Rhinolophus ferrumequinum: one gene and its partner. The protein of the gene in region 2 purifies or fractionates together with the protein of the main gene of each other region. This does not show direct contact. Links are inferred from orthologs where the notes say so. Each region holds a gene or a part of one and is shown on either strand. Other genes may lie near its edges.

The links.
Region 1: the proteins of UBR5 (region 2) and SOX2 purify together in Homo sapiens (affinity purification with western blotting; 3 studies listed by BioGRID and IntAct, with this or other methods). This does not show direct contact. The link is inferred for Rhinolophus ferrumequinum from reciprocal best matches to the Homo sapiens genes UBR5 and SOX2.

What each region holds. Positions count from the first base shown.
Region 1 is NC_046285.1:62,840,583-62,847,208, forward strand, and holds SOX2 (transcription factor SOX-2), read right to left. Parts: upstream 2,483-6,626; 5' UTR 2,033-2,482; coding exon 1,070-2,032; 3' UTR 961-1,069; downstream 1-960. UniProt on the Homo sapiens protein: Transcription factor that forms a trimeric complex with OCT4 on DNA and controls the expression of a number of genes involved in embryonic development such as YES1, FGF4, UTF1 and ZFP206. Binds to the proximal enhancer region of NANOG.
Region 2 is NC_046297.1:43,905,549-43,913,511, forward strand, and holds the start of UBR5 (E3 ubiquitin-protein ligase UBR5), read right to left. Parts: upstream 3,122-7,963; 5' UTR 3,061-3,121; coding exon 2,999-3,060; intron 1-2,998. UniProt on the Homo sapiens protein: E3 ubiquitin-protein ligase involved in different protein quality control pathways in the cytoplasm and nucleus. Mainly acts as a ubiquitin chain elongator that extends pre-ubiquitinated substrates.

The DNA of each region.
Region 1 (6,626 bases), on a different chromosome or scaffold from region 2:
ATGGAGTAAAAACTTAAGTTGAAAATGTACCTGTTATAAGGATGGTATTAGTTCAAATATATATACATGGATTCTCGGCAGACTGATTCAAATAATTCAGAGCCGAATCTTTAAAATACAACTACGGAAAATAAAGGGGTGGGGGGAGAACCTTAAAATATCACAATAAATTTACAGAAATATTACAAACCATAAGAAAATATTTCAAACACAGTAATTTCATGTTGTATTTTTATCTGAACACAATGGAAAGTTGGGAAACAAAAGCTATTATAAATTACCAATGATGTCAACCTGCATGGCCATTTTTGCTTTTAAACAGTAAGTTAAAAAAAAAAATTTAGTACAATCTAAAACTTTTGCTCCTTTAAAGAAGACCACGGAGATGGTTTTGCCAGTACTTGTTCTAGTTTGTTTCCTTTTGTACAATTTTTAAACAATTAAAATGTCCAAAATCTTAATAATTTTCTTCTTTCCACGTTTGCAACTGTCCTAAATTTCAGCTGCAGAATCAAAATTCAGCAAGAAGCCTCTCCTTGAAAAATATTGGCAAATTCTCAGCTTATAAACAATGGACATTTTGATTGCCATGTTTATCTCGATAAATACTGTACAAAAGTTGCTTGCAAATATTAAAACATTTTTTCGTCGCTTGGAGACTAGCTCTAAATATTATTGGTAAAGACTTTTGCAAACTTTCTGCAAAGCTCCTACCGTATCACTAGAACTTTTAAAAAGTTTTGTGTAGTTTTCTTTCCTCCAGATCTATACAAGGTCCATTCCCTCGCCCTCCCTACCCCCACCCCCACCCCGTTTTCTCTGTACAAAAATAGTCCCCCCAAAAGAAGTCCAGGATCTCTCATAAAAGTTTTCTTGTCGGCATCGCAGCTTTGCGTGAGTGTAGATGGGATTGGTGTTCTTTTTTGCAGATGTCATTTGCTGTGGGTGACGACTTTTTTGTTTTGAGCGTACCGGGTTTTTCTCCTTGCTGTTTCTTACTCTCCTCCCATTTCCCTCGTTTTTCTTTGAAAATCCCCCCACCCCCCACCCCCAGTTCACTGTCCGGCCCTCACATGTGCGAGAGGGGCAGTGTGCCGTTAATGGCCGTGCCGGGCACCGGGCCGCTCTGGTAATGCTGGGACATGTGAAGTCTGCTGGGGGCGGCCGGCTCTGGCACCTCGGCGCCGGGGAGATACATGCTGATCATGTCCCGGAGGTCCCCGGCCTGGCAGGGCGCCCTGGAGTGGGAGGAAGAGGTAACCACAGGGGGGCTGGAGCTGGCCTCGGACTTGACCACCGAGCCCATGGAGCCTAGCGCCATGCCAGGGGTGCCCTGCTGCGAATAGGACATGCTGTAGGTGGGCGAGCCGTTCATGTAGGTCTGCGAGCTTGTCATGGAGTTATACTGCAGGGCGCTCACGTCGTAGCGGTGCATGGGCTGCATCTGCGCGGCGCCGTGCGCGTTGAGGCCCGGGTGCTGCGGGTAGCCCAGCTGGTCCTGCATCATGCTGTAGCTGCCGTTGCTCCAGCCGTTCATGTGCGCGTAGCTGTCCATGCGCTGGTTCACGCCCGCGCCGAGGCCGGCGCCCACCCCGACCCCGCTAGCCATGCTGTTGCCGCCCGGGGCCAGCAGCCCGCCAGGCAGCGTGTACTTATCCTTCTTCATGAGCGTCTTGGTTTTCCGCCGGGGCCGGTATTTATAATCCGGGTGCTCCTTCATGTGCAGCGCTCGCAGCCGCTTGGCCTCGTCAATGAACGGCCGCTTCTCCGTCTCCGACAAAAGTTTCCACTCCGCGCCCAGACGCTTGCTGATCTCCGAGTTGTGCATCTTGGGGTTCTCTTGGGCCATCTTACGCCGCTGCCCGCGGGACCACACCATGAAGGCGTTCATGGGCCGCTTGACGCGGTCCGGGCTGTTCTTCTGGTTACCGCCCGCCGCTGCCGCTGTGGAGTTGCCGCCGCCGCCGCCGCCGCCCCCCGAAGTTTGCTGCGGGCCCGGCGGCTTCAGCTCCGTCTCCATCATGTTGTACATGCGGGCGCTGTACGCGGGCCCGGCCCGCCGGCGACCGCCGACCCTCGGCCCGGCCGCGACTTTGGGGGCCCGCGGGCGGGGGGAGAGGAGGAGGGGAGGCGGGCGGGGGTGTCGCGAGCGCAGGGCTCCGCGAGGAAAATCAGACGAAGAATAATTTGGGGGAAGAAAAGAGAGAGAGAGAGAGGGAAACTGGAATCAGGATCAAAAAAAGCGCTTCCCTCCTCTTCTGGCCGATCCTGCCGCCGCCGATGATTGTTATTATTATTTTTTGGAAAGGCTTAAGCCTGGGGCTCAAACTTCTCTCGCTTTCTTTCTCTCTCCTCTTCTTTCTCTCAGTCCTAGTCTTAAAGAGGCAGCAAACTACTTTCCCCCTTTGCAAACACTCTCTTCTCTGCCTTGACAACTCCTGATACTTTTTTGAACAAGTTAATAGACAACCATCCATGTGACGGGGGCTGTCAGGGAATAAATGGGTTTCCAGCGACCAATCAGCGCGCGTCGGCTCCTCCACTCGAGCCCAGCCTCGCAGCCGGGTTTTGCATGAAAGGGGGCGGGGCCTGCTGGTCCGCGGGCCGCGCGGGGGAGGCAGGGGGAGGAGGGGGATGGAGGGAGGGGGAGGCGGCTCCCACTGCCAGCCACTGAGAAACCTTTGTATCCCCTCTCGCAGCAACAGGTCACACCACACGCCTTTTCGAAGGAAGTGGGTAAACAGCACTAAGACTGCGATTTTCTTCTTTCTTAAAACTTAATATTGATTTACTTTTTGGTGCGGGCTCTTGAAATGAGGAAGGGGCGCGAAAAGCCGCTAAGGTGTGGGGGTGGGGCAGGAGAGAGTGGGTGGTTCAGGGCGACTGTCCTACTGGTATTTCAGGAAACAGGCAGTGTTGGATGGAGTCGGTGTGTCATTGTTCTCCCGCTCCTCTGCACACTTCCCCCACCAACTCCAGCCTCTCTCGTGCTTTTCCCTCGCCTCTCTCTTCCCCTTGCTCCTCTTTCTCCACAGGTGCCGACACTCGCTCACGCACTTCTCGCACTGTCCCGACAAGAAGTTAGGAGACGGAACGCTCAATCCCCCAAACCTTTCTTGCTTTCACGCAATTTGTTCTGTTTTAAAAGTAAATCCTGCGCGGACTATGCGGCCGACTCTAGAGCGAGGCTAGGCAGGCCCTGGGTGAGCTGCCGCAACCTCGCTCTTCCCTCCAACTCAGCTCTGGCGCAGGAAACCACAGCTTGTTCCCTCACCCTCTCCCACCAGTCTTTCCCCATTCAGTCGGTGCAAAGGGGATGCACGTCCTCCCTCTCCATTCTCCTGCTGAGCCTCCCCCAAAGGATTTTAGTTGTGCCGGTTTCAGAAGGAGGCTGGGGGCAAGAAAAGAGCTCAACAGAAGGACGCTCAGAGTGCAGGCGGTGGGGGAGCGTTAAGCTCAACTTCTTGGCATCCCAGGGCACTGTGTGGAGGTGGCATTTGGGCCGCACTCACAAACTCCCTCCCACGCAGAGTTCACAGGACTCGAGCAGAACCAGCCCTGGCATTTCCCCCTAGTGACTTCTACCGTGATGGCCGCATTTCCCGGGCCGCCCGGGTCTGGAGTGTGCGCTCGGAGGGGGCTGTAGGCCTGGGAGGAGGGAAGGGTAGTGCTCGCCAGGCACAGGTGCAGGCATTGCCGGCAGGAAGATGGAGGCCAGGACTGGGGAAGAGGGGATCCCAGTAGGGCCAGGGCTGAAGGAGGATGGGATGGGGGCGGGGTAGGGACTCAGAAATCCTGCCTGCCCTGGACCCAAGAGGGTAATTTTAGCCGCTCTCCCATTGTCCGGACGTAAAGATTTCAATAGGTAGGCGCTCAATGCGGAGAGCAATGGCAGCACGTCCGTTACAAATAGGTAGTTTTGTTTCTCTTGTTGTCGCTACACGGAGTCAAACAAAGCCCCGTCTAAGTTTCCTTCCACTCTCTTGTTGGGATCTTTGTGGCTAAAATGCACTTGACTACAAAGGGGGGGAACCCTGATGCCATTTCTTTTTTTATAAAGGGCTTAAACCATCAGGGTTACTTATTTTCTTTCTTCTGTAACACTCTCCGCCCCCTTCTCCTCTGATCCACCCTTAGTCACCCTAAGAAAATGTACTGAATAGTATCTGTCGGCCATGTTCCATTTATTATCTTTACAAAACTTTGCATTGTTTTGTTCTTTACTAACCTTCTTCCCATAACCGTCATCACCCCCACTCCAACTTCTTCAATCCCTGCCCTCCCAAGTTTTTCTGTTCTTGTCAAACTCAAGATTAAGTATGCTCACTGGAAACCCAGAAAAGTTGTGAAAAAGAATCCTGTAGACTTTTCTTAATAATTTATTATTTCTAATCACGGCCCACCCCCCTTACACACACACACCCGCAGGTTCTCCTTTTTCTCTTAAGTTATGGTTTGTTTCAGTTCTTGGGAACCCAGGAAGGACGAGACTGGCCTTCTCAAAACGCATAAATGTAGTCACTCTTCAAAATAAAGCAATGTCTTTTTTTTAATTGAAAGTGTAATATTAAGCTAATCACGCACATGAAGATTAGGAAAGAGAAAAGGTTGAGTTGATCTGGAGAAAAGGCGGCCACGGCCTTTTCTGAGCGTCTTGGTTTCAGGGATGTGGCTGGTGCGCCCCCTACTGGTGAATTCGCTTTCCCAAGACTATGGATTTTACCTTTAAAAGAAGGTGTTTGGAAATAAAAAAATGGGGGGTGGGGTGGGAGGAAGATCAAACTAAATACACGTAATCTAAACAAAAGAGAAGTTAACATATCATATAAGCTATGGAACCGAATCATAAGACTCAGATTTAATTTGCTTAACTTAGAAATGTACATATATAACCTCGAGAGAAGTGGGAGGTTAAATCATGGGGAAAAAATAGGTACAAATTGTGAGATTCAACATATGAATGAATTATGATTGTCCAGATTCCACGAAGGGCAGACCAAGCATTCACTTTATGATTGTGTATGCATTGATCTGCGCTTAGTATAATAGCATTATTCCAAAAAAAAAAAAAGAAAAGAAAAAGCTTATGGATAATTAAGTTTGAAGAAAAAAACCCAAGGGGTTGGTATGGGTAATGGCGGTGTATATGTATTAAAATAAATGTTAATAGTGGATGGTTATACAGCAAATGTTTTTAACCTTTCTCTCTCCCTCTCTCTCAAGGGGTAGTAGTAAGAGGCACAAAATTTTCCTTAAGATGATATATAAAAGCTTTTATACATCGTCAGATGTCTGTGTTTGTGCCTGACTCTATAATAATTCATTTAAGAGGTTAAAGGGGCTGGCTAGGTCTTTTGTTAATTGCTTTTATCATATAAATAAGCTATGGAAATACATTACAATTGTGTTATCATTGGTTGCATTTATTTACAGCTTTATTTTAATTAAGCCTGCTGTACTTATCAAGGCAATAAACTAACTGGATGGCATTTATGCATAATAATGTGCTATGAAAATAAGATTAAAGAAGATGGTGATAGCAGAAACAATTTTCTCATTAGACTTTTTTTAGAACATATGCATTTAAAAAAATCAGATCACTGGCCACTCTATTTCAGTTCAGCACCATCACTGGCCCCTAAATATAATAATAACTATAACAATCACGATGTATGATAGAAGCAGTACTGTTTTAGATTTATAACAGACGGCTACAGTACTAATAACAATACACCATTGACTACTAAGGAATCAAAATAAGACTTGAAAGAGGGTGCTTCATCCTTCAAAAATTTTAAATGTTGCCATTGGTACAATTTATGAAAATTGAAGTGCTTAATATAAAGAGAGTGTAACATTTCCCTTCCATGGGCAGCAAAAAGCTGCATACTTTTAGAGCAAGATTAGAAATTAAGAACAAAAATGCATAATTCCTGAGATATTCGGATTTGATTTTGTTCTACTATAGGCCTCTGCCAAGAATCCTTAACTGATTAAGTGTAGTTCAATTTTACTTAAAAATCTTTTGCACTGATATGTCTCTCCTAAACTCCCCTCATCCCTCCTCAAGTATTATATCTGAAGCCAACTAACAATTTTGTGGATAGGGGACTGTAGACTTATTTTTTCTTCTTAGTGGCAAATAGAGGTTTAACTTGCAGTAATTAGGTGAGAACTAGCCAAGCATCGTACTATTATGATGCTTGTTAAAAAACGCTTCTTTTCTGCATCTGCATTTGAGTGTGTTCCCCTCCTCTCTTAATCTTCTTATGGAAATGAAGGCAAACGGCAGGGAACCTGCAGAGTCTTGGAGAATGTCCTTGTTAACTGGAATTTCTCAGCATTGCTAATTAGCAGAGTTTGACGACGACCACCAGTATTGGGGGGGAAAGCTCTGTTTAACCACTCACAAACCATTCTGAGGAAGAGCAGACTAATTTTATTTTGTAATTAAAATCTGAAAAGGGCCCTATTTGACAGTTAGGGCTATGAGAGTTTTATCTCCCCGTGAAATAATTACTGCCTTGATAACTCAATTTTCTGAAAAAATGTCAACTGTGGGCTCCAAAAGTTTTAATTTCATTATGTAAGGAAAAAAAGAGAGAAAAATAGAAGAAAATGTACAG
Region 2 (7,963 bases):
GCGTTCATTATTTGGTATCTCAGAGCCAAAAATTAAAGACTTAAACATACAAAAATGTGTAAAAACTACCATAGAATTACCAAGTGAAAACACAAAGAAAAAAATCAGATACAACCTTTTCTTTAATGCTATGTGTATTTTAGATATTTGAGACATCACAAGATTACACTGAACAAGATATTTGATTTTTAACAGGATGTGGCTATTTAAGGAAAGAAAACATATTTGAAGAAAATACTGATGTTTTGAGTCCCCTAAGTTTTCTTTAACCGAGCAATTTATTTGCAGTACCACACTGCCTGTCCAATCTTACTTCTTTTTGTATAAAGAATAGTCTACCTATTTATACCTTTTTTCACGCAAAATTATTTCATTTGTGACTATCATAGGCACATTTCTCATAAAAATCAAGCTATAGGAGCACACGCTTTTTTATTACCAAAACTTACAAAATCTTGGTAGTTTTCATCTGAGGATGAAAATACTCTGGGCTTCTTATTCTAGTTAGTTAAAAGATTCCAGAAAATCAGTATCTTTTGGGAACAGATTTTTCTCAAGCAATGCACCAGTGGGTTGTTCCTATTATACTTTGCAACTAGGTATGCAATGACGCTTTACTTTTGAAGGGGAGACAGAACAGCTCCACCACAAGTCAAACTACTGCCCTTCAAACTACTGCACTTCAAAACTCGATACAGGACTGTCTCAAATGTTGCCTTCACAAATCTCAACAGACCAGTTTTACTGCTACTAGATGTAACTACAGGTCCCTAAAATTTTACTGACAGCACTTTTGTATTTTTTCAAAATATCTGTTCCCCCCTACCCCATGCACACGTTTTATGATCTGAATCAAATACACTTGTCTTTTATTTCATAAAATGAAAAGATGATCTAAATATTCTTAATGTTGTATACTGACACTATAGGAATAAAAAAACAAAGCTGAATGTTTATATTAAGAATGAAAAAAGAAAACATAGCTTTAAAAAAGATACATTATTTATAAATTTCTCAGATTAGCTAAAGCATAAGGAATATTCAAAATTGAATCAAAATACCCAACACCACTGCAGAATAGGTTTTGGCATGCAGTCATTGAATGAACTTGTCAGGATTCTTGGTATATATAAAGTAGGACTAATACAGAAAATATGCCCTATTTCTCTGCTCCCTGGTGCAATTTTCTAAGTTACAAAATAAGTTACAATACAGGCACTACCAACTTGGTTCTGTGAATGACACCAGAACTATCACCACCTCTAGCCTGATTCTAAAATTTACCCCCCAAAAAATCTTATGTTAAAAATCTTTAAAAAGATCTCTAGCACTAATGAAATAAAATCAGAGTAAGGATCCCTAATAAAATGTTAAAATAGATGACTTAAAATGTCTTTCAATATTTAAAGGAACATGTGGTAAGTCCAAGTGGTTAATATTTTCAGACAGTATTCCAAAAGTTTCACAAACATGTTAAATACAATATGGCTACAGCAAACATCAGAGAAATCCGAACCCAGGGCCAGAAACTAAATCGCCAGCTTTCAAATTAAAAAGCTGTCGGCCCCACCTGAGGCAGTTGGATACTTTGAGACCAAGGCCAATATCATAGCAGCAAGTTAGGCCTCTTCCTCCCTCTGGGAAGCGCATGACAAACAGGGCGTCATGCAACTTGTCACCCGGTCACTTAGCAAAAATTATATCTAACTTCAAAACTTGGGTCCAGGTGGCTTCTAATAATACTCAAAGGAAAGACAGCAGCGAAAGCATCGGGTAGAAGGAGTATTAAAATGCCCCACTTTCTGACCCTGAGAACATTTAGCCCATCATTAGATCCGAGTCCTAGATTCTAAGAGTTGCTTTAATGGAGGCCTCCCTCAACCTCCTCGGAGTCTGTTTTGCAACAGTGAAGGAACTTTTCCTGCTTTATCTCAGTTCCCTGAAAGCATGCGGCCCTGCAATTCAATATCCTAAACTGGCAGGGAACCGTGGAAGAGGAAGGGGAGGAATCCACGGCCAAAACAGCCGTCTTATGAAAGACAAAAAAAAAAAAAAAAGAAAGAAAGAAAGAAAAAAGAAAAATCATTCCTCCTCCGCCCATTGTAAACCCATCCCAGAAATTTACAGCATGTTAAGAAAAGCAGCATTGCGAACTGCAGACGTAAGTTTTCCTTTGACTCTACGCACGGTTTTCAGCTGTCAAATTACAACTCACGAAAACACTATCATTAGAATAAAAAAGGAAACAAACAAACAAAAAAGCTCGCACCAGAGGGACCGGGAGCTGGAGCTGCCAGCAGCGTTTAGGGAGAAGGAGAGCAAAGGGAATCCAACCCACTTCCCCACCCCCGCCTGAATTCATCCCCTCCCCGGGCAGGCAAACCTCACTGCAGGGGCTCATATTTAATAATAATAACAATAATCATGGCGCTTCCTCCCCCACCCCCCACCGCGATCTGCCGGGAATCAGCTTCTCCTCCCTGCTTCCCCCCCCCCCCCCCGCCCCGGATCTTCAAGCTTGGCAGGTCCAAACCACCCCACCGGACACAACTCCCAGGGGCCCCGGCGAGCGCAGCCTACCCCGGGGCCCCTCGCCCCGTTTCTCCTCTTCCCTCTCTTTTTACCTCCACCATCCCCCATCCGCATTGTCTGTCTCAATTCAACTTTGGCTAATATGGATTCCTCTGGCCTGGCCCGGGCGGTAATTACAGCCCGCCCCCCCGGGAGCGATCTCCCCCCCCCATCTCCGCCCAGTTCAACGCGGCTCCTACGGGGCAAGGGGGGTGCAGCGCGCTTTCCCATCTACACCGTGCTCCCCCCACGTCCCCGGGCCCCCGCGCCCAGAAGTTTGCCCCGGAAAGGGCCTAGTCTGGGGCAGTGAGGACCTCCCCACCGTCGGCAGGCGCGTAAACACTGGCGCCCGCCCCGGCGCGGCCCCGTGGGGGAGGGAAGGGGAGGGCGGGGAGGCGCCCCTCCCCCCGCCCGCCGGCCCTATTACCTGTCATTGAGCTGGTCCTCGGTGCCCGGCAGCGGGTGAACCACGAAATGGATGGACGTCATGGTGCTTCCTTCTCGTCCTCCTCCCGAGGACGGCCCCCTCCCGCTCTCGCCCGCCCCCCCAACCCACTTCCCCTCCCCAAAACCCACTGCCGCCGCCGCCTCCCAGTCCCCAAATGGAGGGAAGCAAATGCGCAGGGGCCGCCGCTGCCCCCCTGCCGGGCGTGTGTCCACCGCCCGGCAGTCTGCGGGGCGAGGAGGACGGATCAACACGCCACCCGCTCTCCTGGCGACAGCGCACAGGTCTGCGAGGCCGGCGGCCGGGACCTGGGGCGCGCCGCCGCCAGCGGCAGCGGGGCGTTGGGAGAGGGGCGACTGGGGAGGGAGGAGTGGGGCGGACTAAGGGGACGGTGTGGTCCCGGCGGCAGACGGGGTCCGGACTAGGGAGGTGGGGAGGGAGATGAGCCCGCACCGCGCGTCACTGGCGAGAAGCCGCCGCCGCCACCAGCACCGTCGCCGCCATCTTCACTTCTGCCCCAGTTTCTCCGTCTCGCAGGCTGCGCTCCCGAGCGGCGGGGGAGGGGCGAACGGAGGGAGGAGAAGGGAGGAGACCGGCGGGTGGGGGCACGGCTGCGAGGGGGCGGGGCTCCGGGAAACGGGCTGTAAGGCCCTTTGGATTGGGCCGCTCAACGTTGTCTGGCCACGGTGCTGTAAGGCGCGTGCGTATTGGTCCGTTCGGCCCCCGAGGGACAGCTCCCAGTGAGTGTTCCGGAGAGCACGTGTTAGGGAAGGAGGAGGCGGAGGGGCGCGTCCGCCCGCGCTGGTAGGGAGTCCGCCAGTAGCTTGAAAGTGTGTCCCGGGGGAGGTGGGAAGGAAGAGGGGCTCCTGCGTTGTCTCGGTTTGATTTCCCTGGGGCAGCCCTAATTATTTTGCGTACCCTGGGGTTTTTTTTTGTTTCTGGTCCTTCCTCCGCAGTTGTATTTAAAGTGGAAGTGTGAAATCAGTTAAGGGGCAAGAAATGAACACCCTTTTATTGGAGAAGGTAGTTATGTAAGAACCTCTCCACAAGGTCCTAATCTTAGAGCTGACTTTGCAGCAACTTCTTTTATCACCCTGTTCTCCCCAATTTCCCCAACACCACCATCGTCACGTAGCCAGACAAAGACAAAATGTGGAAATTTCCACAAATTTCCTGATTTAAATTATTCATTTTTTTTTTACGACTTTTAAATGAAAGATGATCTATCTACTCTGCAAAGGCGTTCTTCAACTTAAGATCAGTGGGATTAAAACGGCAAATTCTTGAATGGATCTAGCTGCTTTTTACTGTGGAGCCAGTTCATAGCTTTCTTCCCAAAGGCTTCTGTGTCGCCTTCAAAAAGCAGGTACCTCTTTCAAGGCAAAGAGTGAAAACATGAAGCCTCTTCTCCAGGCTGTGTGAATGTTCATTAAATCAGAGGTCCTGTGAACCGTTCTTAATGTTAAATAACACTTTTCTTCTGTTAATACATTACAATATACACACTTTTGCTTAGGAGCTTCTTTTGAACAAAATATGTGAAAATTTATAAATCAGGATAGAGTAGGTACCCTTTGAGATAGATAATGGAACACTTTTGTAGGTCACTTGTTCCAAAATCGGCCCAGATGAGTTTGGACTAAAAAGTGATTCAGCTCTACTACTTATTAGAAGTCTATGTGAGGCCATGGGAAAGCAGGGTAAACCAATGAACACTGCTAGTTTTAGACCCAGACAGACTTGGATTTGTGTCCTGTTTCTGCTACTATGTGACATTGATTAAACTGTTTAACCTATCATAGTGTCTTTTTCTAATTTGTATTCTAAATAATAGATCTACCTAAGGTTGTGGAGAACTCTAAGATAATGAATGTCAAGCTCCTAGGGCTCTTCATAACACTTAGGCTCTGCAAATGGAAGCTTTTATTTTTCAGGCTCTCATTATATACCACTTTATACATTTGTCTTTTAATACTCAAATCACACTATGGGGTAAATAATATTATCTTCATTATATAGATGCAGACACTGAGGCTCAAACATTTCAGGTAAGTGCTGAAGCTGAGACTTAAACCCAGGTCATCTAACTTTGATTGTGTTGCTCTTTCCACTATACCACAGCTGCCATCTAGTTAATAATTTAGAAGGAACAGACTATTCAAAGCCAATGGGAAAAATGTGATATGATAAATGCAATAAGAGTGCTATGGAAGTTAAAGGAGGAAGTGATTCCAGCCAAGAAAATTAAGAAAAGTCATTTAAGCTGAGCTTTCAAGAATATTCTGGGCAAATAGAATATACAACTTAAACCTAGTCATTTTACATTTGCCCCAGAAAAAACTCCACACCATACCCATATTTTGCTTCATGAGTCTTTCTTCCAAATCTGTCTTCATCTTTTCATCAGGCTTCCAACTTGATTTACCCACTCCCAGTTTCCTGGAACTGAGACTCTCTCTCCTAGTTGAAGGCCCCTCTCCGCACTCCTAGCAGCCCATTCAAACTGCCCACTTGATCTTTGACTGACAGCCATCTTGACATAGTGACCTTTTTGTTGTCCCAGGCTGGAATGTTAGGGAGAATTTTCCTCTCCCAGGGCCCCAACACTTTGGTGGGTCACGGTTTGAACAGGGGAAAACAAGAATAAAGGCATGGAGTTGTGCAAGCCCATTGCATGGATGGGGGAGGGGGAGATACAAATAGGGAATGGAGATAAGCAAGGTTCAAGAAGAAGCTCTTTGAAGACAAAGTGCAACACAAGCCTAGAAGGGGGGAGGGGCTTTTTTCTAATAATTTGGACTAATTCTCACTTGGAGGACAACTAGAAAAGTTAGCCAAAATATTTCTTTAAATCTGCTTAAAGGCACAGAGAGTTAACAAAATAATGATGAATTACCAAACTGGGATCCAAGGGATGAATAAGACCCAAGAAAGTGAGTCTTGTGTTTGGAGCCACTTTGTCCTCTGGGATGAATGCCAATTCCAGAAACACAGAGTGAGAAGCCAAGAGACTGAACAATTCTGACAAGCACTCAGGGTTAAAACAACAGGAATTGATGTCCAAGGTATCCCAATGCTGTGGTGAGTGCTAATGAACCCCTCTTACTTTGTGCTGAGCCCTGAAGGACCATACCCCTGAAATAGGCCATGTCTTAGATTTGATTTCCCCCAAAACAGAACTTAATACAAGGATTTGACTATAAATAGTTTATTTGGGAAGTGATTACAGGAAGCACTATATAGGAATGGAGAAATGAGACAGAGAATGGATGAAACCCAATAAAAGATGAACTGATGAATGTTCTACCACTGTGGGCAACTAGAATTCAATCCCACTGGGGACCATCTGAGGGAATGTGTGGGACACACCTCAGAATTACCCTACTGAGTGGAGGGCAAGCTGGAGTTATTTATCCATCAGCAGCATCCCTCAGTAGTTCAGGATTGCTCTTGGGTTAACTCCTTGACACTTCAAGTTTTCCCTACTATGGGCAAAGCACAGTGCTAAATAATAGGCTCAAGAATGAAAGAAAAACAAAGACATTTGGCAGGGGTCAGGGAGAAAAAGAGAGAGAAGAAAAAGAAAAGGGAAGAAAAATGTGAGAAATTTTTAGGACTCAACCCATACTAAAGGGTATTCTTCAAGCAAAAGGAAAATGATTCCCCACTGTAAGCCCAGAGAGGCATAAAGGAATGAAGAGGTGTGAAAGGGGAAAATATGTAGGTATATGAATGTTAACTGAATAAAACAACGGGGCTTAAAAAGCCACAACACTGACCCCACCAAATGCTGCCCAACATGCAGAGCACCAAAAACTCATTCATTGCTGGTGGAAACACAAAATGGTCCAGTCTCTTTAGAAGACATTTTGGTGGTTTCTTATGAAAGTAAACATACTCTTAACATATGATCCAGCAATCACAGTCTTTGGTATTTATCCAATGGATTTGAAAATTTGTGTACATACAAGAACCACACAGAAGTTTATAGCGGTTTTATTCATAATTGCTACAACTTGGAAGCAACCAAGATGTCCTTTAGTCAGTGAATGCATAAATAAACTGATTCATCCAGACGATGGAATATTATTCAGCACTAAGAAAAGTTGAGCAATCAAGCATGAAAAGATATGGAGGAACTTTAAAGGCATATTACTAAATGAGAGAAGCCAATCTGAAACATTATATAGTCTGTTTTCAACTATATGACATTCTGGAAAAGTCAAAACTATGGAGACAGTAAAAACTTCAGTGTTCGTCAGCGGTTAATGAAGAGAGAGGGATGACTAGGCAGAGCACAGAAGATTTTAAGGGCAGTAAAACTACTCTGTATGATATGATAATGGTGAATACATGTTGCTATACATTTGTCCAAACACATAGAATGTACAACACCAAGAGTGAAACCTAATGTAAACTATGGACTCTGGATGATAATGATGTTTCAATGAAGGTCCATCAGTTGTAGCAAGTGGACCACTCTGGTAGGGATGTTGATAATGGGCAAGGATATGAATGTGTGGGGCAGGAGTAGGTAGAAAATTTTTGTACCTTCTTCTCAATTTTTCTGTGAACCTAAAACTGCTCTAAAATATAAAGTTTATTTAAAAGAAAACATGTTAGCAAAATAAATTCAAAAGGATAGTAGATTCCTTTTGACATACAAGTTCAATGATTTGACATACGAAAATCAGCAAAAGTAATTCAACGTATAACAAAATAAAGGAGAAAAATAATTAAATCCCTTCAGTAGAGTAAGAAAAGGATGTTATAAAATTCTATAACCATTCATGAAGAAAATTTCTTAGCAAACTATGAATAGAAGACTTCTTTAATTTAAAAAGTATTTCTAAAAACCTTGCGGGGAAACATCTTTTGTTATGGCAAAATGTTAAAAGCTTTGCCCCTGTGATTGGAAACAAGGATGTCTGTTCTCACCACTACCTT